3 linked regions of the Elephas maximus indicus genome follow. The protein of the gene in region 2 interacts with the protein of the main gene of each other region in a pairwise test. Links are inferred from orthologs where the notes say so. Each region holds a gene or a part of one and is shown on either strand. Other genes may lie near its edges.

The links. The genes of interacting proteins can lie anywhere in the genome.
Region 1: the proteins of CLEC7A (region 2) and BNIP3L interact in binary tests that used the Homo sapiens proteins (3 or more experiments, as listed by UniProt). The two-hybrid records come from large-scale screens. The link is inferred for Elephas maximus indicus from reciprocal best matches to the Homo sapiens genes CLEC7A and BNIP3L.
Region 3: the proteins of CLEC7A (region 2) and BNIP3 interact in binary tests that used the Homo sapiens proteins (3 or more experiments, as listed by UniProt). The two-hybrid records come from large-scale screens. The link is inferred for Elephas maximus indicus from reciprocal best matches to the Homo sapiens genes CLEC7A and BNIP3.

The regions. Positions count from the first base shown.
Region 1 is NC_064840.1:47,146,288-47,154,526, forward strand, and holds the start of BNIP3L (BCL2/adenovirus E1B 19 kDa protein-interacting protein 3-like), read right to left. Parts: upstream 3,611-8,239; 5' UTR 3,521-3,610; coding exon 3,418-3,520; intron 1-3,417.
Region 2 is NC_064822.1:67,381,049-67,389,013, forward strand, and holds the start of CLEC7A (C-type lectin domain family 7 member A), read right to left. Parts: upstream 3,590-7,965; 5' UTR 3,512-3,589; coding exon 3,382-3,511; intron 1,404-3,381; coding exon 1,305-1,403; intron 1-1,304.
Region 3 is NC_064834.1:81,713,878-81,722,591, forward strand, and holds the start of BNIP3 (BCL2/adenovirus E1B 19 kDa protein-interacting protein 3), read right to left. Parts: upstream 3,611-8,714; 5' UTR 3,409-3,610; coding exon 3,363-3,408; intron 1-3,362. UniProt on the Homo sapiens protein: Apoptosis-inducing protein that can overcome BCL2 suppression. May play a role in repartitioning calcium between the two major intracellular calcium stores in association with BCL2.

The DNA.
Region 1 (8,239 bases), on a different chromosome or scaffold from region 2:
AAAACCTGTAGGCTCTTTATTATACTCCAAGATACTTATAATTGTTCTCTTATATCAGTTTGTACATAGACAATGACATATTTCCCAGTTTAAGCTTTTGAGAATTGTTAACAGATTTTCAGAGAATCCATGTTTCTATATTCTCTAAGGGTAGTCCTGAAGGTTAGTCAAATAATTGTGACTACATTTATGACTGTATGGTGTACATTCTTTACAGTTTTAAAATCACCTGTTCAATTCTTCTCTTGAATAAAGTGGCTTAAAGGAAGTGGAGAGAAGGAAGAAGTATTTTGACTCATTTTCCACCCCCAACCTGAAAGGTACTACAACACTCATTTAACCAGGGGTGACATATTTCATTATACTTTATCCTCTTTCCTCAAAGCCTTTATTTTAAGGATCTGACGCTAGAATCCAGACCAAGAATAATTATTGGCATTCTCTAAAACAAAAAAAAAAGTTTAGTCTTTTTGAAGAAGTTGGTACTTATATATACGTTACGTATATTTTCAAGAGTATTACAACGCAGTGAAGTTTTATGTGTCACAGCCTTCTCACCACATTCAGGAAGCAAGTACATCATGGTTGAAGATGTTTAAAAAGAAAAAAAAAAGGGGGGTGGACTGGTTTATTCCCACTTTAAACAAGAATTATGCTACTACCTTGATTTTTCTTATACTACCTACCAAAACTCATGATATAAATCTACTATACAAATATTAACTAACTTGATGTTTTTCTTAAGAATCAGCAATTGGAAAGATAATTTTGGAAGTAGTTCAGATATTTGCCCACTAATACGTAATGAAAGTGAATGGCCCACCTATAGCAGTAAAGTAAAAAAAAAATTAAAAAATAAAAATCAGGGTTTCATTATTCCAAATATTTCAATAATTTGCTGTTAAAACTCTGCTTTTGACTCTTGAACTAAAGATAACATCCCAAACCAGAGATAATCTGTACAATGAGTTTAATCTGTTTTTCATAGTTGCGCAACTTTACTCAACAAAGTATTTCAACTTATCTGCAATTTGGATAGTTTTTAGATGCCTGAATACGCTGATTTGCTCACTCTTGTTTTGTTCGGTTCAGCGTTGTGTAATGAGCTCCCCCACAAAAAAAAAAAAAGAGCAGAGTAAGAGGCAAGGGGGAGTAATTAAACATGGCATTATCTAGAAAGTTTTTCAGTAACTTTTAAAAGCTCATTCCACACCAAATATACTTTTTATCTAGCAGATTTCCCATAGAAACATTCTGATATCATCTGTAGGTTGATTATCCTTCCACTTCAATAACAGCTAATGTAAACGTAGCAACCACTGAGGGGCAACCACTGACTGGCCAAGGACGTCAAACACCTCATAGGTCTGTCAGACACAGGCACAAACAATCACACAGAGCTCAATCTCATTTTTTTATTAAATGGTCACAGGAAAATTAAAATCCCTTTGTTTTCTGTGAAATCATGTACACATATTAACCAAATAGATAACTTTTAAGTATCACAGGACAATAGTGAAGACAATTAAGAAATAAAATACTGAAAAGCTAGATTGCCTCTGTACACCGAGTAGAATAGCATGCTGAGAGAATAAGACACACATGGTTCGAGGATTTTGGACCACTGAAAAAGAAGTGTACCAAAGGAGTACTAGACTGGGTGACAGTCAATACCTAGACTCTAAATCCCAGCCTGGGCAAAACACTTTATTTCAAGTAAATTCTAATCTGTTTTTTCACCTGTAAGTAAGAAAACCCACCGCGGTGGCTTCGATTCCAACTCATAGAGACCCTACAGGACAGAGTAGAACTGCCCCATAGAGTTTCCAAGGCACACCTGGCGGATTCAAACTGCTGACCTCTTGGTTAGCAGCCGTAGCACTTAACTACTATCCCACCAGGGCTCCCCTGTAAATAAGAGGGGACAGTTATTTCTAAAACATCTCTTTCCATTCTAAATTCCATGCTTCTAAGAGTATATGCGAAAAAATGGTAATCAGTTAAGAATGCATGTTAATATCTAATGCAAGTAACATTTAAAGGCACATAAATTAATCCTAATTTACTGTGAGAATACTGCACATGCAGAACTGCTGAATTGGTGTTTTTGCTGTGTATATTCTCAACAATAAAAATAAATAAAATTAAATTAAAAAAGAAAAGATGGAGAAGAAGCAATAAACAATGAATACGTCTTAAAATATTCAAATTCTATTCCCATGTTTGTGGGAACTCTCTTTCCCTAAAATAATTTTTAGGCCTTGTTGGAAGAACCTCTTTATGGGTGAAAAATACTGCAAGCCTTTTAAGCATCCAAGTGATGTTTAAACGATTTCCTTTAGCCATATGTTAACTGCCCTAACTATCGCTGTCATACGAGATGCATTACAGAAAAACAAGAACCTTTTAAGACGACTCCGAGCTCTAAATTAAACAACTGGAAATAACATTACGACGAGATGTCTGAGCACCAGAATATTATGAAGCAACTGTATTTGGTCGTAACTCAATATCGCTCATTAACTTTCAACTATTCATGTGTATGAGTGTTTATAATTCCATATCTGAAAATTCATTTCCTCAGACTGTGATTTGTGCAGTTCAAGAGGATGTTTATAAACAGCTTTTCTGGCAGACAATCTAGTCGTTTAAAAACATTACTTCAGCAACTTTGAAAAATATCCAAAAAAAAAAAAAGTAACACAGCTTCCTCGCCTCCACACGTGATTCAAGTAACCATTAAATTACCAAATGAATTTATTTTCCTGACGCGACCGTGGTAACAAAAGAACGTACCCGGAGGGCTCACGTTCCGAAACCTGGGGAAGCCCAATTCAGCGACGTTAGCTAGTGATGCAAAGGCTTAAGCTCCATTGTACACCTGACCCTGGCCACGTCCCCCAGCCTTCCTCCCCTCCGCTGCCGCCCGCCGCCCGCCGCCCGTCCGTCCATCCCCCGGCGGCCCCGCCGCACGTCCCCATCCCTTCCCACGTCCCCTCCGCGGCCCGCTCCGCCCACCCTCTTCGCCCTTTCCTTCCTCCCAGCGCCCCAACGCCCGCCTCCTCCAGGCCTCGATTGGCTCCGCTTCAGCGGACGCACCACAGGTGGAAGCGCCTCGTCTACCAGCTCGCTGGGCGTCCCAACCCTCGTCTCTTCCCACCCACCTGCACTCCCTAACCCTGAACAGAAGCAGGACCCAACTCAATATCCGAGAAGGTAGAAGAGACAGGCGAAAAGGGAGACAAGAGCACCTCATCTTGACAGGTGAGGGGAGCCGTCAGTCACCTGAACATCCTCGGCCTTAACCAATAAGCTGCCTTCTGGTCCCCCTTACCCCCCGCGCTAAGCTTGTGGTGGCGGCCAGACCAGCGCCTCCTCCCCCATCCCCTTTACCAATCCCGCCGGGCCAGCACTCACTGTTGAGGCCGGCTGGCGGTGGCAAAGGCGATTCGCCTTCCTCGCAGTTGTTGTTGTTGTTGTTGTGCAGGGGCGGCGGCTGCTCTACTAAATTAGAAGACATTGTCAGTGGCTGTAGGAGCTGCGCCCGCTGCAGGACCGTCTGTGGCTCTCGGGCAGCAGCACAACAAGCCGAGTCCCCCGCCCCCTTTCCTGCGCGTGCGCAGACCCTCCCCCTGCTCCTGACGTCAGGGCCCGCCCAGGACACGTGATAACAACACAGCCAGCGGACGGGGCGGCGGGAGGAGCCACGGACGTGGAGACGCTGGAGTCAATCTGACGCGCGCGCCAGGAATGAATTGTTGCACGTAATAATTTGTACTGACCCAGTGGGATGAGTTATGGTGATGGCCCTGGGGTAGAGGATAGGGGGAAGTCTGTAATGAGGAAGTGTAACGTGCCCATGTATTAGCACCCAAATCTCCCACACCTACTGGGTCAATATTGTTTTATCCAATCTGTGAGCATTTATTTTTTAATGTCTGATAAGGACTCAGTTTTGTAATAAGTATTGTGGTGACAAAAAGGAAGCAAAAAACCTTGTGCTTCCCCGTCATACCCTCAAGTAAAACTGGTGAAATATAAACACCCCGAACAGGGAACAATGTATGGCAGTCCAGACTTTTTTGTTCCGGGTCAATAACTTAAATTTTAATTACAAACGTAACACGCAATTGTTGTAAGAATAGCTGGAAAATTTCAGGAAAAGGTAGAGAATAATCACCCAAATCACCTAGCTTAGATAGATAGCTGCCATGGGGTTGACCACCTTCTGTCAGTTTGTTATAATGTGGCTTGGGTGTTGCTATGATGCTTGAAGCTATGCCAACGGTTTTCAAAATACCAGCAGGATCTCCTGTGGTCTAATGCTTCCAGAAAAAGACAGATTAGGAAGAAAGGCCTGGCAATCTACTTCTCAAAATCGGTCAATGAAAACCGTATGGATCACAATAGAACTGTCCGACTTCCTTGTTTAGACACGTCATCAGGAGGGATCAATCGCTGGAGAAGGACTTCGTGTTTCATAAATCACCGGGCCAGTGAGGGACAGGGAGACCCTCAGTAAAGTGGATTGGCACAGTAGCCACAATAATGCACTCCCCAGCCATCAGTTGTACGTAAAGTTGCCGTGAGTTGGAGTCAACTGCATGGCAGCTAGCTAGCTAATTTATCTCTGCAACCTTATTTTATGTAAAGACATGTATCCTGTGTGTGGTTGATACTGAACTACTTTATGTTACTGAATATTCTAACTTCTTCATATTTCCATGTCCTCATCTAATTTCTTTGTCTGATTTATGTGTGGCATACATTTTTTTCAGTGTCTTGTCACTTGTGTTTTAACATTGTTTCACCCTGAAGATATCTAATCCATCAGTCTTAGAAGGCTTGGAGAGACCTTCACCAGGATTATAGAAGTAGTTCTTTATAACATTTTCTAATTCTTTTATAGGTTTAGTTTTTACATCTGAAATTTGTTTTTGATATGTTGTAAATTACTTAACTTCATTTTTCCCAATGTAACAGTCAAGTGACCCAAAAACATTTATTAATTTGAAAACAATCCTTTCCATGCTGACTTGAAAATGCACCTTTATAAAGTTCTTCATATGGTTTTGAGTTACTGTTTAGTGTTCTTTCATTTCAGCCTAAAGACTCTCTTTAACATTTCTTATAGGCCAGGTCTACTAGCAACAAACTAGCTTTTGTTTATCTGGGGATATGTTAATTTCTCCTTCATTTTTAAAGGGTAGTTTTTTTCCTTTAGGACTTTAAATGTCATCCCACTGCCTTATCTCCATGGTTTCTGCTGAGAAATTGGCTATTAATCTTATTGAGGATACTTTGTATGTGATAAGTTGGTTCTTGCTGCTTTCAAGGTGTTTATGTTTGTCTGTTTTTTTGTTGTTGTTAGATGTCATCGAGTTGGCTCCCACTCATAGCAACCCTATGTACAACAGAGCAAAGCACCGTCTTCACAGTCGTCGTTATGCTTGAACCCATTGTTGCAGTCACTGCGTCGATCCGTCTCATTGAGGGTCTTCCTCTTTTTTGATGACCCTCTCCTTTACCAAGCATGATGTCATTCTCCAGGAACTGGTCACTCTTAATAACATGTCCAAAATACACGAGATGAAGTCTTGTCATCTTCACCTGTAAGGAGCATTCTGTCTGTACTTCTTCCAAGATACAGATTTGTTTGTTCTCGCAGTCCATGGTATAGTCAATATTTCTCGGCAACTCCATAATTCAAAGGCATTATTTCTTCTTCAGTCTTCCTTATTCATTGTTCACTTTCACATGCATATGAGGTAATTGAAAATACCATGACTTGGGTCAGGTGTCTTAGTCTTCATGGTGACATGTTTGCTTTTTAACACTTTTAAGAGGTCTTTTGTAGCAGATTTGCCTAATGCAGTGCTTTATTTGATATCTTGACTGCTGCTTCCATGGGCATTGATCGTGGATCCAAGTAAAATGAAATCCTTGACAACTTCAATCTTTTTTCCATTTTTAATGACGTTGCTTATTAGTCCAGTTGTGAGGATTTTTGATTTCTCTGTGTTGAGGTGCAGTCCATACTGTAGGCCGTAGTCTTTTATCTTCATGAGTAAGTGCTTCCAGTCCTCTTCACTTTTAGAAAGCAAAGTTGTGTCATCTGCATATCAGAGGTAGTTAATGAATCTTCCTCCAGTCCTGATGCCACTTTGTTCATATAGTCCAGTTTCTTGGATTCTTTGCTCAGCATATAGATTGAATAAGTATAGTGAAAGGATACAACCCTGACACACTTTTCCATGCAGTATCCCCTTGTTCTGTTTGAATGACTGCCTTTTGGGCTATGTACAAGTTCTTCATGAGCACAAGTAAGTGTTCTGGAATTCCCATTCTTCACAATAGTATCCATAACTTGTTATGATTCACACAGTTGAATGCCTTTGCATAGACAAAAAAAACACTGGTAAACATCTTTCAGTTATTCTCTGCTTTCAGCCCAGATCCATCTGATGTTGGCAATGATATCCCTAGTTCTGTAACCTCTCCTGAATCCAGTTTGAACTTCTGGTAGCTCCCTATCACATCTTGCTGGAACTGCTTTTGAATGCTCTTCAGCAAAATTTTACTTGTGTGTGATATTGTTTGATACTTTGCGCATTCCATTGGATCACCTTTCTTTGGAATGGCCACAAATATAGATCTCTTCCAGTTGGTTGGCCAGGAAGCTGTCTTCCAAATTGCTTGGCATAGACGAGTGAGCACCTCCAATGCGCAATCAGTTTGTTGAAACAACTCACTTGGCATTCCATCAATTCCTGGAGCCCTGTTTTTTGCCAGTGCCTTCAGTGCAGCTCGGACCATTGGTTCTTGATTATATACTACCTCCCGAAATGGTTGAACATTGACAAATTCTTTTTGGTACAGTGAACCTGTGTATTTCTTCCATCTTCTTTTGATGCTGTCTGCATCGTTCAATATTTTCCCGTAGAATCCTTCAGTATTGCAAACCCACGTTTGAGTTTTTTTCTTCAGTTCTTTCAGCTTGAGAAATGCAGAACATGTTCTTCCCCTCCAGGTTTTTGCACATGTCATTATAATACTTTTTCTTCTTGAGCCACACTTTGAAATCTTCTGTTCAGGTCTTTACATCATCGTTTCTTCCATTCACTTTAGCTACTCTTATGTTCACAAGCAAGTTTCAGAGTCTCTCCTGACATCCATTTTGCTCTTTTCTTTCTTTCCTGTCTTTTTAATGACCTCTTGCTTTCTTCATGTATGATGTCTTTGATGTCATTCCACGACTCGTCTGGTCTTTGGTCATTAGTGTTCAATGAGTCAAATCTATACTTGAGATGTTCTCTAAATTCAGGTTTTTATACTCTAGGTCATACTTTGGCTCTCCTGGACTTGCTCTAATTTTCTGCAGCTTCACCGTGAACTTGCATAGGAGCAATTGGTGGTCTGTTTTGCAGCTGGCTCCTGGCCTCGTTCTGACTGATGGTATTGAGCTTCTCCATCATCTATTTCTACAGATGTAGTCGATTTGATTCCTGTGTATCCACTGGGCAAGGTCCATGTGTATAGTTGCCATTTATGTCGTTGAAAAATGTATTTGCTATGAAGAAGTTGTTGGTCTTGCAAAATTGTATCGTGTGATCTCCAGCGTCGTTTCTTTCTCCAAGGCCATATTTTCCAACTACTGATTCTTTGTATGCCAATCACCAGTAATTATCAATCCATCTTGATTGCATGTTTGATCAATTTCAGACTGCAAAAGTTCGTAAAAATCTTCAGTTTCCTCATCTTTGGCATTAGTGGTTGGGACATAAATTTAAATAATACTTCTATTAACTGTTCTTCCTCATAGGCACATAGATATTTTCCCATCACTGACAGTGTCGTACTTCAGGATAGATCTTGAAATGTTCTTTTTGATGATGAATGCGACAACATTCCTCTTCAATTTGTCATTCCTGGCATAGTAAACCATATGATTGTCCAATTGGAAATGGCCATATCAGTCCATTTCAGGTCACTAATACCCAGGATATAGATGTTTATGTGGTCCATGTCACTTTTGATGACTTCCATTTTTCCTAGATTCGTACGTCGTACATTCCATGTTCTGATTATTAATGGATGTTTGCAGCTGTTTCTTCTCATTTTGAGTTGTGCCGCCTCAGCAAATGAAGGTCCGAAAAGCTTTACTCCATCCACGTCATTAAGGTCACCTCTACTTTGAGGAGGCAACCTTTCCCCAGTAGTATATTGGGTGCCTTCCAAT
Region 2 (7,965 bases):
ACTTCAGTCTTTTCTTGGTTTATCATCATGTTTCTTATTGATCCAGTTGTGAAGATTTTTTTTTTTATGTTGAGGTGTAATTCATACTGAAGGCTGTGGTCTTTGATCTTCATCAATAAGTGCTTCAAATTCTCTTCATTTTCAGCAAGGTAGATTGTGTCTTCTGAATATCACAGGTTGTTAACAAGTCTTCCTCCAATCCTGGTGCCCTGTTCTTCTTCATATACTCCAGCTTCTCAGATTATTAGCTCAGCATACAGATTGAATGAATATGGTGAAAGGACACAACCCTAATGCACACCTTTCTTGACTTTAAACCACACAGTATTACCTTATTGTGTTTGAACAACTGCTTCTTGACCTAAGTACAGGTTCCTCATGAGTACAATTAAGTGTTCTGGAATTTCAATTCTTGGAAATGTTCTCTGTAATTTGTTATGATCCGCACAGTAAAATGCCTTTGCATAGTCAATAAAACACAGGTAAACACCTTTCTAGTATTCTCTGCTTTCAGCCAACATCCATATGACATCAGCAATGATATCCCTGGTTCCACATCTCTTCTGAATCTGGTTTGGGTTTCTGGCACTTCCCTGTCGATATACTGCTGCAGCTGCTTTTGAATGATCTTCAGCAAAATTTTACTGGTGTGTGATATTAATGATACTGTTCCATAATTTCCACACTCTGTTGGATCATCTTTCTTTGGAATCGTTACAAATATGGATCTCTTTCAGTTGATTGGCCAGGTAGCTGTCTTCCAAATTTCTTGACACAGATGAGTGAGCACCTCTGGCACTGAAAACGTTTTTTCTAAACATCTCCGTTGGTATTCCATCAATTTCTGGAATCCTGTTTTTCACCAATGCCTTCAGTGTAGCTTGGAACTCTTCCTTTAGTAACATCAGTTCTTGATCATATACAATCTCCTTAAATGGCTGAACATCAATTCTTTTTGGTACAGTGAGTCCGTGTATTCCTTCCTTCTTCTTTTGTATTTTTTTCAAATATTTTCAATCTGTGGTTGGTTGAATCCACTGATGTGGAACCCATGGACTCGGAGTTTCTCAGACAGCCTATCTAAATTTTAATCATGGCCCCACCATGACCCTAGAATAGTAAAATTACCTCCCTATCTCTCAATTCACTTATAAATAAAATGGGGATTAATAGTACCAACTCAATAGAGTTAATGTAAGGGTTAAATGAAATTATGTATGTCAAACCTTTAAACAAGTGCCTGGCATGTAATGAATGTTCATTGAAAGTATGCATTATTGCTAATCTCCTCTAACAGTACTCACCCTTGGTGCCCAGAACCACAGCTATCACCAGTGTTATCAAGAATAAGATCCCCAAAATCACAGCAATGACACACCAACGAGGAGATGCAGCACAAGTTCCTGAGGAGCCAGAGGGAGAAGAAGTTGAATGAAGGACTAGAATGATGGACTGAGAAACCAAAAAGCCAAACCTGTTGATTCGGACTCACAGCGACCCTAAAGGACAGAGTAGAACTGCCTCATAGAGTTTCCAAGGAGTGCCTGGGGGATTCGAACTGCTGACCTTTTGGTTAGCAGCCGTAGCACTTAACCACTACACCTGATGGACTGTGAGGCTCTTTAAATCTACAGTTCATCAAAATCTGGCAAATTCCAAAGTGAACCATTCATTAGTCACTGTTTTTGAGATAATCTAATCATCTAGTACTAGCCTAATTTTTTATACACCTTTAGCATGCCTCTTCAAGCCCTGGACATGTAATTTGGGCACAGTGCTTTGATATGTATCCATTCTTAATTTCAGTTCCACAAAGTCAGCTACAGGTCTTGTCACTGCTAGGAATCCTGAAATCCCACTTATTCCTTAAGCAGGGAGCTTAATGTAGGGGAAAGAACAGTGGTTACCAAGGGTGGCAAAATCAAAATATGGAACCTTCTCTTTTTACTTATTTGCTGCAGGATCTTGAGCAAATTACCCCCTCTGGTTTTTCATTATTATTTATTGAAAACTGGACTAAGAATACTTCAATGGATTGTTGTGGGGATTGCATTGGTTTACATAAGTAAAAGCACCTAGTTTAAATACTGTTAGCACACTGTAGGTAACTCAGTGTTTGCCCACGCATACACATAAACACATGCATGCCTTCCTCCCTCTTGCCTCACTCAGTTTTTCCACTCTTCCCCAGTAGATTGCTCAAGGAAAGAATTACATAAGTGGTGAGACAAAAATAATTGTGCAATGTGACTAACAAGAAAGCAGAAGAGAGCAAATTCTTATGCCAAAACCTGTCAATAATCTCTCTCCCGATATAACATGGAACCCATTTTGTGTTAACATTGACACACTAAGAACCTATCTCTGCCTTTAACTGAGAATAAGTAATAAGAGAATTTCATAGGATTTTCAAATAGGAAACTAATAATAAAAAAAAAAAAAAACCAAACCTGTTGCCATTAAGTCAATACCAACTCATAGCGACCCTACAGGACAGAACAGAACTGCCTCATAGGATTTCCAAGGAGCACCTGGTGGATTTGAACTACCATCCTTTTGGTTAGTAGCTATAGCTCTTAACCACTATACCACCAGGGTTTCCAGGAAACTAATAGAGGAGGCTAAATTATTAATTCTATGAAAAGATGGGTTTTTCTTATGTCCTTCGTATTTCACCTTCTTATATTTTAAGACTCATTTGTCACTAAAGGAATCTCTTCCTTTAACATGTGTATTTTCCTTCACCGGTATATCAAGAACTTCCCTTTGATTAAAAGCTAATTAAATCAATAAGCCAAATCAATTTCACATCACATAAATCATAACAAATCAATATTATAAACACTATTACATCTGACTTCCATTTTACCAGAATATGACAGATTCTTTTTCCCTCGGTGCCTTCCATTACTGATCTTCCATCTTTTTTTTTTTTTTTTATCATTCGCTTTCTTATCTGCTATATCCTGATGTTCTTATACACTTCTTTAAGTTTCCTTGACCTCCATTCTACAATCTATGCCTTTCTATCAACCAAGCAATAAACCACTCTTATTGAAATTCCTTCATTTTTGCTCATTGCCACATTTATTACAACTCCTCACTGTTCAAATGTCTACTCCTACAGAAAAGAGAAATTCTGAATATTTTGTCATCATACATAATTAATTTAAATACTAGTAATTAGACACTGAATGCTATTATCTGAGTTGCCACAAGAAAATACTTAGCTCACATTCAAATTATCTTCAGTGACTTCTGAAAACCTGACATTTAAAAAAGTATTAATAAAAGCCCTATAAATCACAAGTCTCAAATTTTCTTCTCTTCGGTGATTTGGATAATGATGATGAAAGTATTGAAGGGATAAAGAAAAATTACCTTTCTTTGAGACTATAGGTCTCCTGGAGTTGTCTCTAGAGTTGAAGTCTAATTGAGTATATCCATCCTCATCCAAATTTTCTGTATTGGAATAATATTCCATTGTTCTGTTGAGTCCCTGGACAGACATAGCATCTGAGAGCCCTTTCTTCTCTTCTAAGACAACTGCTTACGGACAAAAGAGGACCTATGAGTCAAATCATGTGGGATGGGCAATCGCTGAGGTTTAACGACTTGAGCTTGAGTAGTTCAACCAGATACCCAGGAGCAGGAAGTGAAAATTCTGCTGTGGCAATTTCCCATTCGGACCTTTAGATCCTATTTCTGAGACTGCTGATTCTAAGAAAATTATAACACAGCATAGTAGATAGATCCTTGTTTCAGACCTAATAAAATAAAAATATATAGATTTATGTCCCAAGCTGCTTTCATTATTCTCACAACTGATTTTGACATCATTAAATGACTTGGCTTATGCAAACTGTCAAACAATCTTGGTATCTTGAGTTCACCATGACTTCATTATGACTACACATTCATTAATTTATTCATGCATTCATTCAATAAACATTTGTTGAATGTCCACCTTTTCAACCAATAGGAGTTGGGAATATAAGGATAAACAATACCTGTGTAGAAGCTTATTGCTTAGCAAAGGAAACCTACAGATGAAAGTGTGAAGGATGCCATTAGGAGGGGCATAATTGTAGCAACAGCAGGGATCAAATATCTGATATTTGTCGTGGGATAATCACACGAAGCAGTAATTATTTATTGAACAATTACTATGTGTTAGGTACTGTGCATTGTACTTGCTTTCTCATTTAATCTCAGTTTTCCAGCGAGCCTATATTGTAGGTATTATTATTTCTATTTTCAGATGAAAAAATTTAGCCCCTTTCTCAGGTTTAAGTAGTTAATAAAAGAGAGTGGACTAAGTAATCAGAGCAAGGTTCACTCCTGCTGCAAACTTCGTGCCCTTTCTGTTAGGTTACACTGCCTCCTTCACCATTCTGTACATTTCTGTAGCAATTAACAGCTCATGGAGAGTTCTGGGACTGAAATGTTCTGCAAAGTGTTTGATTTTTTCCTCTCTTCCAATTTCCTTAGTAATGATTAAATCAATGATACATGGAAAATACTTATTACTTCTAGAAACTAGACAGATGTCCAATCCATTTATCAGAATTTGAAGACTGTAGAAAGCAGGACACATCTGTTTAACATGTTATCAAAATGGAAGATAGATCACTGGAGAGTAAATAAGTGGGTTCCTCCCTGTCTTAACCACAATTTTCTAGAGAAACGGAATCATTAAGACATATAGATACAGGCGTAAGTTTGCTATGAGTTGGAATCAACTGGACAGCAGCGAGTTTGGTTTGGTTTTATAGATGTAGATATAGATATTGTTTTTAGCTAACATTGATTCAGACCCCAACTCATGGTGACCCCACATGCAACAGGATCAGACCATAGTGATCCATAAAATTTTCATTGGCTTATTTTCAGAAGTAAATCGCTGGGCTTTCCTTCCTAGTCTGTCTTAGTCTGGAAGCCCCATGAAACCTATTCAGCATCATAGCTAAATGCAAGCCTCTGTTGACAGACGGGTATTGGCTGTGAATGAGTTGCCCTGGCCAGGAATAGAATCAAACTCAGATCTGCATGAAAGGTGAGAATTCTACCACTGAATCACTAATGCCTCTCATATATATATATACATACATACTCACAAACACACATATATATATTTATGTATACACATGTATCTATATAATAGAGGCAGAGAGATTTATTTTTAAGGAATTGGCTTGCTCACAGGATGTGGGGGCTGGAAAATTAAAAATCTGTGGGTCAGGCAACAGACTGGCGATTCCTGCAGTCTTACATACCAACATTCATAGGTCAGGTGATGGGGAAGAATAAAGAGTGAAGGGGTTCTGGCAAAATGTCTACTTACAGTCTGAAAGAAGAATACACCTTAAGAGAAAGTCCCTTTTTGCTCTTATGGCCTTTAACTGATTGGTTGAAGCCCACACACATTATGGAGGGTAATCTGTTTTACCTGAGGCATGTAACTAATTTAATCACATGTAACTACTTCATACGGAAACCCTGGTGGCATAGTGGTTAAGTGCTACTGCTGGTAACCAAAGCGTCAGCAGTTCAAATCCACCAGGCCCTCCTTGGAAACTCTTTGGGGCAGTTCTACTCTGTCCTATGGGGTCACTATGAGTTGGAATCGGCTCGATGGCACTGGGTTTGGTTTTTTGGTTTAACTACTTCATAAAAGCATCTAGAAAAGCGTTTGTCCAAAAAAACGGGCACCACAGTCTAGCCAAGTTGACACATAAAATTAAACTTCCACTAACTTTTTGTAGGTGTGCTGCAAAGCAGCAGTGTGGTCTAATTCCAACATTCTTCAGTATTTCAGTTCTATAAAGGAGCCCTTAGAAAGCAGGCCATATCATGGCTAAAGGCAGGAGGGTCAGCCTACTATACAGAACCAAAGAACAGCGATGAGGGAAACACTTCTTCCAGGCAGTAATTGGAGAAGCTGGATTTATTCTGTCAATGCAGACCGCTGATACAAGAGTCTTTCTGTATGAAATGACTTTTATTCTCTATGACTATATTCCTCTATTTAATCTCAATCCCACAAAAACAATTGACTCTCTAAACTGTCAAAGAAAAATGCAATAGACATAAACTTTGGTGTTTTTTATTCTGGGAGCCCTGGTTGTGCAGCGGCTAAAGTGCTTGGCTGCTGACTAAAAGGTCATTGATTTGAACCTTCCAGCCACTCAGCAGGAGAAAGATGTGGCGGTCTGCTTCAGTAAAGATCTGTCCTACAGGGCCGCTATGAGTCCGAATCCACTGGATGGCAGTGAGAGGCAGTCAAACAACTGAACAGCGAAACTTGACATACTGGAAAAATAAGAAAACCCTCCGCATTTAAAAGGATGGGGAAAGGAGAGGGTCTAAATATCCAGAGAAAAATACTCTCTGTTAAACATTAATTTGGGAGGCCTTTGTGGTTAGTGGTTAAGAGCTTGGCTGCTAATCAAAATTTCCGCAGTTCCAGGAATCTATCAGTCACTTCTTGGAAACTCAGGGGGCAATTCTACTCTGTCCTATAGGGTTGCTGTAAGATAGAATCGACTCCACTGCAACAAGTTTGGTTTTGTTTTTAAACATTAATGTAAGAAACAGGAGAAAAATAAGTGGACTTAACCAAAATACCAAATAGGCAAAAAAAGAAAAAAAAGGTAATAATAATAATTCATATTCTCAGTGGGATTTGATGAAAAAACTGATTCATAAAACCAAAAACCCATAAAATCACACAAACCCTCTTTGTGACAAAACATTTGTGAACCGTGAACTCAGAGTTCACATTATGAAAAGGATTTATCTTTACCTAAAGCCAAAAATTGACTCGATGGCAGTGGGTTTGGTTTTTTTTTTTTTTTTTATGGCGCCTTGGTGCTGTAGTGGTTAAGTGCTCTGGCTGCTAACTAAAGGGTTGGCAGTTCAGATCCACCAGGCACTCCTTGGAAACTCTATGGAGCAGATCTACCCTGTTCCATAGAGTCACTCTTAGCTGGAATCGACTCCACAACGACAGGCTTGGTATTTTTTGGTTTGGGTAGGGAGCCCTGGTGGGGTAGTGGTTAGGAGCTTGGCTGCTACCCCAAAGGCTGGCAGTTTGAATTCCACCAGACACTCCTTGGAAAGCCTATTGGGGGCAGTTCTACTCTGTGCTATAGGGTCACTATAAGTCATAATCAACTCAAGGGTATATCGCCATCAAGAAGCCCTGGTGGTGCAGCGGTTAAAGTGCTAGGTTTGAATCCACCAGTCGCTCCATGGGAGAAAGATGTGGCAATCTGCTTCTGTAAAGATTTACAGCCTTGGAAACACTTTAGGACATTTCTGCACTGTCCTATAAGGTCACCGTGAGTCAGAATTGACTTCACAGCAATGGGTTTTGTTTTGTTTTGTTTTTTTGGTATTGCCACCTTGTCTCTTTGTTCCTGTCTATCTGTTCTCGAGTGCATTCCACATTGGTCAATGATCTTTGTGCAACTTTTCTATGCACTCAGAGGAATCTGACAATCTGAGCCTCATTTTCTTTTCAACAAATTAAAATGAATAGTATTGTACAAAATACTTTGAATTATATGTGTAAAATCTTTTAAATTATAGTAATGTACTTCTGGGAAAAGGAGAAAGTTTTACACCTATATTTATGTATATCACATTAATAAAAAATATTACAGTTTCTGATTTAGAGCTTACCTTCCCCAATTTGTCAATGATTTTGTCAAAATTAATATTTTTCATATATTCTCGTTGACTAATCAATTTAATTTTGAAAAGTTTATTTTGCTGAAGAAACATATACGTAAACTTAGGAAAAAGGTTTATAAGGATACAAGAGATCTATAAAACTCTTATTTCACAATAGTTTCAGAAATTGCAAGATTGCTCATGTCTTTTTCCTTCAGAATCAATTCTAGAGGCTTCAAATGTTGCTCTGCAGGTCAAAAAATTTTATACAATATAAATAAAAATTCT
Region 3 (8,714 bases), on a different chromosome or scaffold from region 2:
GCTCTCAAGGCTACCAAACTCTGCAGTGATACTTCTCAACCCTGGCTATGAAGGAGGACTAGCCTGTGGTGCTTTTTCAAAATTTTTCAGAAGCCCGGCCCCACCCTCCTCTGAAAATTCTGATTTGGAATGCTGGGGTAGAGCCCAGGCAAACAGATTCTGAAGAAGCTAACAGCGATGTAGGCCAGGGTTGAAAACGATCCACTAGGGAAATGACAAGCACACCAACAATTTACAAAACAGTGGGGTAAATGTCAGAACAGAGGGATGTCCATGATGTTGTGTGGCATTACAGAAGAAAAGCTTGAGGCAGAAGGGCGGCTAAGACTGGAGAGAACCAAAGCTACCAAAATCACACAGAAGGCTTCTTCCCTAGGAAAAGTAGGCTCTAGGAAATTGCTCTTTTTATATTTAAAAGCTTCTCACGTTATCTGGAAGAGGTACAAAAGAGACTCAACTGACAAATACTTTTGAACATAAACCCAACTGGTAAATGATTCAGGTGACTGGCTTCAAACAGGAGTTGGTTCATCTCAACCTTCATTTTGTTGGGCTAGTGCTGTGGAAGGCTCCAAAAGCACTGTGCTGGCATTTCATGGAGAGTCCTTGATGTGCCCTTAATTATTGTTGCCTGCCTTATTTGTAAATTTCCTCCTAAATTTATCTGTCACTTAATCTCTGGGTCTCATTTTGACCATATGTAAAATGTAGGTTGGGTTAGAATCTAGACCTTTGAAATCCCTTCCAGCTCTAAAACTGCAAGATGCCATAATTTCTCTCCAAGAGAGATACAAATTCTATTTCTTGTCATACAGGTTCACCCATGATGGGTTGCCTATGACAACAGAACCATCCGACTAGCTGCAGATACAGCATTAAGTGAAAAGCTGGGAGCTTGTGGCATTAAATTCTGCTTTCTCAGAGCAAATGTTCTCTCGAGAAGCTCTGCTTTGAAATGTGTGGGTTTTTCTGGGGAGTAAGTCATGCACCACGGCTACCCCCACCCTGCCCTAAATGCTACTGGGGCACAATATTGTCACAAAATTCTGTCTCCTTTGTGCATAGTAATATACCTAAGGAGAAAAAGAAATGCAAATTCAAATATCCCCCGAGTCAAAAGCTTTGACTGGAAAGGACCAAGGGGTAAAATGGGAATGGATCAATCAGTTTTATTATCTATTCACTCCTCTGGGAAGATATAAGCCTAGGGGGAGATGTTTGCTGTTCTGTCTATGGGTTTGGCTACTAAGTTCCTCCGTTGTCCCTTCAGAGGTAAACATCAAAAACACCCCAACCCACTGCCATTGAGTCGATTCTGACTCAGAGTGACCCTATAGAACAGAGTAGAAATAACCCATAGGCTGTAAATCTTTACAGGAGCAACTGGTGGGTTTTGAACCTCCAACATTTCGGTTAGCAGCCGAGCACCTTAACTGCTGTGCCACCAGGGCTTCTGAGAGGTAAACAAGAGGTAATCCAATCAGAACAGAGCAGGACAAGCGCTGCCTCAGCTGCACCTGATTCAAGCCCAGATTCCCATTTGTTAGGGCAGCTCTATATTCCCACGTGACTCACTGGGCTGGATGGCCAGCAAGTGTCCCGCTGCACGTACACTCAGGGAACAGCCGAAAAAATCTTTACATGAGTTTCCACTGTATGTAACCATCTTTTTATAGAATAAGCAGAACAAAAACCTTTTAACTCCTGAACTGGCCATCCTGTGTCACCAAAGACTCAGCAGTGTGGTTTATAAGACAGCCAACAGGCAAGCTAACTGCCCCTACCCACCCCCCATGCGACTCTTCCAGAGACTGTAAATTTGGGGTCTGATGGTCTGAATCAGTAAGTAAAAGATTCAATGTCAGAAATAAAATAGTTTGATGGTTAGAAAATCGGTGATTTCTGGGCAAAAGATGAAGGCAAACATCCCTGGGATCTTATGAGAAAATACAGAGAGAAAAAAACAAACTCCATCTGTTTCAAAGAAGGAATTAGTCAATATTTAACTTTAAAAACAATACTATGAATTACAAGATTTTTTTAAAGTGTGGTTGTAGTTTTTAGATACATACCATACAATGCATTAGGCTAATTAAGTGTTGCCCAGTAAATTCTTGTTTTCAGAACAAATGAAAATTTAATTAGCAGCTCAGTAATTTATATGAATAACCGAAGGGTTTGATCAGAGGTTTCAACAGTCCTCTCCAAAGCTTATTTACATGCTCGTTTTGTTTAGACAACTCTTGCTTCAGAGAGTACAAGGGTCAGCAGACACCAGTCTCCTAGTCCAACTCTGGGGCCCCCAGGATCATGTCAACAGGGCCAGAAGGAAAGAGGCCAGTTGCCCCAGCGTTGCCCTGGTGGCGCGGTGGTTAACTGAAAGGTCAACCGTTGGAACCCACCAGCTGCTCCGTGGCAGACAGATAGGGGCAGTCTGCTTCCGTAAAGATTTACAGCCTTGGAAACCCTATGGGGCAGTTCTGCTCTGTCCTATAGGGTCGCTGTGAGTCGGAATGAACTCACAGGCAACAGGTTTATTATTTTTTTTAACCCAATATTGGCCTAAACTATTAAATGTTAAAACTATTAGGTTCATCCGTTAAATGGTGATTTTACTTTAAGGAGAAATTTTAAGTTGGCCTGAGCTGGAGAATTTAGACTTGTGGTCAGCTCCTGACCCCAGATTCATTCCGTCCCCCCCACCCCCGCCTTCTTGGAGGCCGAGCAAGCTTTGGACCCACCCTGCAGACTCGGTCGCCAATCAGGCCCCTGGCGCCCCAGAGGCAACTCCAGCCACACCGCCCGCCGCGGGGCTCCGCCAGCGACGCCCGGGGGGGGGTCAGGACGGGCCGCCCACCCGCCAAGGCGGTTTCCAGCAGGGCCTCTTTTGAACGCGCCGGACACAGTTCGTAACTGGGGGCGCTGGGCTGATAACACGCCGCCTGGCACTGAAGCACAGCTCGTTCCTGCCCTTCGACGAGCCACAACCGAAGCCCACCCCGGAGCACCAGATGGCAACTACGTCCACTCGTTAGCAAAGCCCACTGCGCACCACGGCATCTCCTCGAGCGGCAAACCTGCGGGGTTTGCCTTTCGCTAGCCGTCCCTGCCCGGCTCGGAAGCTCCAGGACACAAACCCCACCAGAACCCCGCGCCCCCGAGGGCTGCAAGTCCTTAACTCCTGCAGAAACCGGGCGGCCCCGGGCCGCACTCCCCGGCCCCCTCGGCCGAGCCTCCCCCGAGCCCCGCTGCCCCGGCCCTCTGCCGAGCCTCCCCCGAGCCCCACTTCCCCGCCCCCTCGGCCGACTCCCCCGACGCCCCCACACACACTGCGCCCCGACTTCCGCGCCACGCGGCCTCACCCTGCAGGTTCTCCTCCTGCAGCCCGGGGACACCGCTCTGCGACATGGCGCCGGAGAGCGGCTGTGGCCGGTCGGGTCCACGAGCCGGGCTGCGGGTCGCGACGGCGCCTTAGGCCGATGGGCTGGAGCCGGGGGAGTGGGAGTCGGCCTGGCCGCTTGCACAGCGCGTCTCGCAGGTTCCTGTTGCGCCGCCAGCTGACGGACTGACGGACTGACGGACTGAGTGCGCGGGGCAGGGCTGCCACGGACTCAGCGGCTGCGTCGCTGATTGGCCGCGGGGCGGGGCCTGCGCGCGTGCGGCGCGTGCGGCGCGTGCGCGGGGGCGGGGGCGGGGCGGCAGTCTGAGGCGCGGGCGGCCTCTATCCGGGTCCTGCGCCCGCGATTGCGACAGCCTGAGGTAAACAGGCGGACGGGCGGCGCGGCTCCCGACGGGGGCGGGGCGGGGCGGGGCCGGACGGAGCGCCGCGGAGCCACGTGACCTCGTGGCCGCGCCCGTTCGGTTTGGGCTGCGACGCCGGCGCCTGAGCGGAGGGTCGGGCGCGTGGTTGGGGCGCGTGGTTGGGGCGTGTGGGGCCGCAGGCGGTGCGCGAGGCGGGCCTCGAGCTGTTTGGGGTCCCTGCTCCCCAAGGAAAGCGGCAGCAGGGCAGCAAACGCTCGCCGCCGCGGTAATGGCCGCGCTGACTCCCACCGCCCTCTCTGGGCCAGAACTAGCCGTTTCCCGTGTTAAGAGTGTGGAAACTGAGGCACAGGTAGGGCGAGCAACCTGGTAGTGACTGCAGCTGAGTCCCAGGGTGCGCTGCCGACCGCGCAGGGCCCCGACAGCCCACCCTCGTTCACCGGGGAGGAAGGAGGCCCAGAGGTGAGGCCCAGGTCACCCGGCGGCTTCTGCCAGCCTGTCAGGAGCGGAGCTGTAAGTGTCGCCTGAAAGGGCTTGTCCCCAGCTATCAGGCGGGGAGGAAAGGGGCTGTGGAGAGAGGTGTCCGGGAGCCGCCGTTCCTCTCCGACCATCGGTCGCAGCCTGCGGGTCTCCATTCGAGTACTCCGGCCGTTCCCGGAGTGTTCTGGAAGGCCGCGATCCAGCGCTGCGTGGACAGAAAGCAGCTTGCTCACACAGACACGAATTGTAGAGTCCCTCCCAGGAAGCCCCTTGCACACACCAACTCCTGGCTGGTGCCTCCCCCAGTGCCCCCAGGTTCCCCTACTGGGAAAGCTGCCTTCCCTGGGAATGCCTCCTGCGCGGGGCCTTTCCTAACCCCCACCGCAACACACACCCCTGTCTGCGGCACAGGGACTTTGGAATGTCCCAGCCGAGCAGGACTGGGGAGTACCCATTAGCCCCCCGTCCTCAAATGTATGCCTCTCCACTCAGTCTCCTCTCCCTCTCCTCTGGAAGTCCTTCACTTGTGTCCACCCCCAGGCCATTTCCCATCTGTCAGCCCCTCCCCTGGAGCCCTGGTGGCCCAGTGCTTCAGCGCTGGGGCTGCTAAGGAAAGGTGGGCCTGTGGAACCCATCCAGGAGAAAAGACCTGGTGGTCTGCTTCTGTAAAGATTACAGCCGAGGAGACTCTATAGGGCAGTTCCACTCTGTCCTATAGTGCCTGCCTATGAGTCAGAATTGATGCCAGCGTGCACAACAGTGCCTCCTCAATTCCCTCCAGCAATCTGTGAGTAACATGTACCCCATTTTATGACTCTTTCATTGAAGTAAATCTGTTCTCTGTCCCTAAATTTAGGATTCACTAACCCCTTTTCATTATCTCTGTTGCCCTTTACCTCATATATGCAGGTTTTTTTAAGAAATGAATTTGAGATTTTATTTTATATAGCAACAGTGGAGAATAGGACTGTCACTATATGATGGGGCAATAGAGAGCAGGTAGTTGGTGAAGAACCAGGCATTTAGAAGCAGGAATAGAGTTGGTCCAGTATTTGGGAGGAGTCTGTGCTTGGTCCATGTAAGTCGCCAAATATTTTCATTATTGAACTGGGTTCGAAGGCAGGGAGTCCCCAGAGGTGCTGATTTTCTTGAGGGTTGGAATTTAACTTTTGGCAGAGCTATGGTGTAGGGAGGTAGGGTGTAGGGACCTGAAAAGGAGCTAACTTGGAAGAACCAAAACCAAAAACCAAACCCATTGCCATCAACTTGATTCCAACTCATAGTGACTACAGGAGAGAGTAGAACTGTCCCATAGAACTTCCAAGAAGCGGCTGGTAGATTTGAACTGCCAGCCTTTTGGTTAGCACCTGAATGTTCAACGACTGTGCCACCAGGGCTCCAACTTGGAAGAATAGGTTGTAAACAGTGGGTAGTGTGGGGGCAGCCAGAAGACACAAGAAGTTACTTCCAGTTTGGAGTGAACGCAAGGGTAAATAAGGAAGGGCAGTACACCAAAAAATGTTCCCTGATGATGATACTTAAAGGAATCTCTGCTGCAGGTTCACAGGGGGCATCACAAGTGCTGTTACATTATAAGCTACCAGGGGATCTGGCCCTTCCTAAGAAAGAAACTAGCTGAACCAAATGAAACACAGGTAAACAGGTGCAGCTGCAGCGGAAGGACACCCAGTCACTGAAAGGCTCAGAGTAATTAAGAAAGGGTTGAGCAGAGGGAGCTAGAAGTGCCCTAATGACAGATAAGGAGTCCTTGGGTGGTAGAAACGGTTAAGCACTGGATTAGTAGCAAAAAGATTGGCTGCAAACCCACCCGCAGGCACCTCAGAAGAAAGGCCTGGTGATTTGTTTCCAAAAGGTCACAGACTGGAAAACCCAGTGGAGTGCTGTTCCAACAACTCTGCACACATGGGGTTGCCATCAATTGGAATTGATTCAATGGCAACTGGTTTTTTTTTTTTTTCTTTTGGTTTAGTGACAGATGAGGGGAAAGGGGAAGAGGGCCCTAGAATTCTCTCACTAAACCAGCTGGTCTACTAAGAGGAGATTGAAAATGTGAACTTGAAGGATAACTTGAAATGCTACCAGATCTCATGATTCCTCTGCCTTTAAGTGAAAAGGAAAGGTACCCTACCAACCTCCAACTTGAAATTCCTCAGTAAGAGAGACTTTGTCCTGGAGTAAGCAGTAGGGCTCAGAGAGTAATTAATTTAAGGCTTCTTCAGGGGAGAGGAGTCCCTGCACCTAGCAATGTGTTCGCATACCCTTCAGCTTCCTGGCCAGGTGTCTCCCATCCACCTCTTTCCATCATAGCTAAATATAAAATAATTGTTGCAGTATTGCTTAGAATTCTAAGGCAATTATTAATAAGTTATTCCTGAGAAAACCAAATAAACTAAAATATAATCTTACACTAATATACCAGAGGATTTCAATTAGACATCGGGTGCGGGAGAGTCAATGTATGCATTACAGGTCTTGGTTTGTTTAGGAAGGGAAGGTTCTAGATATTGATGTGTACATAGAAAAAGTATAAGCTTAACCATAAATTTAAAGTATAATGATGAGCCCTAGAAGACTAGACATAGGCCCTTCACTTTCAAACAACTTGAGAAGAAAATGAAAAATAATAAGAAAAGGTAAATAGCAAGGATATAAAAAAGGATATAAAAGGTTTGAATAATATAGTTAACAAACTTGATTGCATGTCTATATGTGAGCTTTCATAGCAATACACAGAATACACGTTTATTTTGGTCACCCATGGGTCTTGTTTTCTGTATGGACTGTGTATTGAGTCACTTAAAAAAATGAATTCTCAAAAGTGGAAATTACACACTGTGCAAATGAGTGTACGCTACAATAATTCTAGACATTAGCTACAAAAGGAAAGCTCTCGTCGCCCCCAAAAAATCATTCTAATTGCCACTTAGGAACCTCTTCTATATTTTGTACCCTTTTGTAAAAGAAAAAAATCCAAAGAACTTGCAGTCAATTTAGAAATAAAGGTCACTGAGTAACCAGTTTGTAAATGAGGGGAAGTTTCTCTTTATCGGAGTATTTCAGCTAATAAATTAAGATTGAATGTAAGAATTAAAATATCACTATTTTGCATTTCATTGTTTGTCATGGGTTTTTTTTTTTTTTGAGAGTTCTTACGCTTTAGGGGTACATGCAGAAATATTTATGGGTAAAATATTATATCTGGAATTTGCCTCAGAATAACACAGGACAGGGGTAGTAGATGAAGGTATAGGTGAAACCATGAGTTGAGTATTGTTGAAGCTGAGTAATAAGTACATAGTGGTTAATTTTATTGCATCAACTTTTGTTTATGTTTGATATTTTTCACAATTTTTTTAAAAAAGAAATGGAGGTAATAAAGTTTGATGTGTACCAAAACCTAAATGAGAAGGAAGATGGCTGACTGAACACATTTATTTAGCGTCTCAAAATCCTATTGAAATGACAGTAAAGAAATATAAACGAGAATAAACTCACAGCAGAACTGGAGTTGGTTTCTCAGTGGACCAGAGTTACTAGCAACCTGGAAGAAAAAAATGACAGAAGAGAACAAGAGATGCAGCGACTAGAAGGCAGAGGCGTTGTGAGACCTTAAGTGTACACAGTTTTTAAAAAAAGCTTTCCTGATTTTATAACTGTATGCAAAAAACATTAAAGTGTACAGCTGGGTGACTTTGTCATATGTATACACCCATGAAACCATCACTACAATAAAGATAATGTTTTTAAAAAGTGATGAGATTTTGAATGGGATCGTGTTGAGTCATTAGATCAATCATATCCATTACCTTTAAAAGTTTCTCTTCTCTCAGCGTAATTATTTTGAGATTCAGCAAATGTCACATGTATCAATAGTTTGTTCTTTTTTATTGGGTGTCTGGATGTACTTAAAATTTGTTTATCTGTTCACTTGATGATAGACATTTGGGGTGTTTCTAGTTTTTACCTATTACAAGTAAAACTGCTGTGAACATTCATGTGCAAGTCATTGTGTAGACATGTTTTTTCATTTTTCGTAGATAAATAGGTAGAACTGAAATGGTTAGAACATATGATAGTGTATGTTTAGGTTATTTTGCCAACTGTGTATCTTCTTTAGTGAAGCATCTTTTCAAATCTTTTGCCAATATTTTAATTAGGTTGTCTTATTTAGTTGTAAGGGTCCTTCTTGTATTCTATATACAAGTCCTTTGTCAGACAGTGTTTGCAAATATTTTCTCCTAGTCTGTGATTTGCCTTTTCTTTTCCGTGAGTGTTTTGAAGAGCAACGTTTTCATTTTTGACAAAGTTCAGTTTACTGCTTTTTTTCTTTTCTAGTTCATGCTTCCTGTGTCCTAGTCATTTAGTTTCCTGTGGCTGCTGTAACAAATCTCCACAAACTTGGTGGCTTAAAACAACAGAAATTTATTTTTTCACAGCTCTGGAGGCGGGAAGTT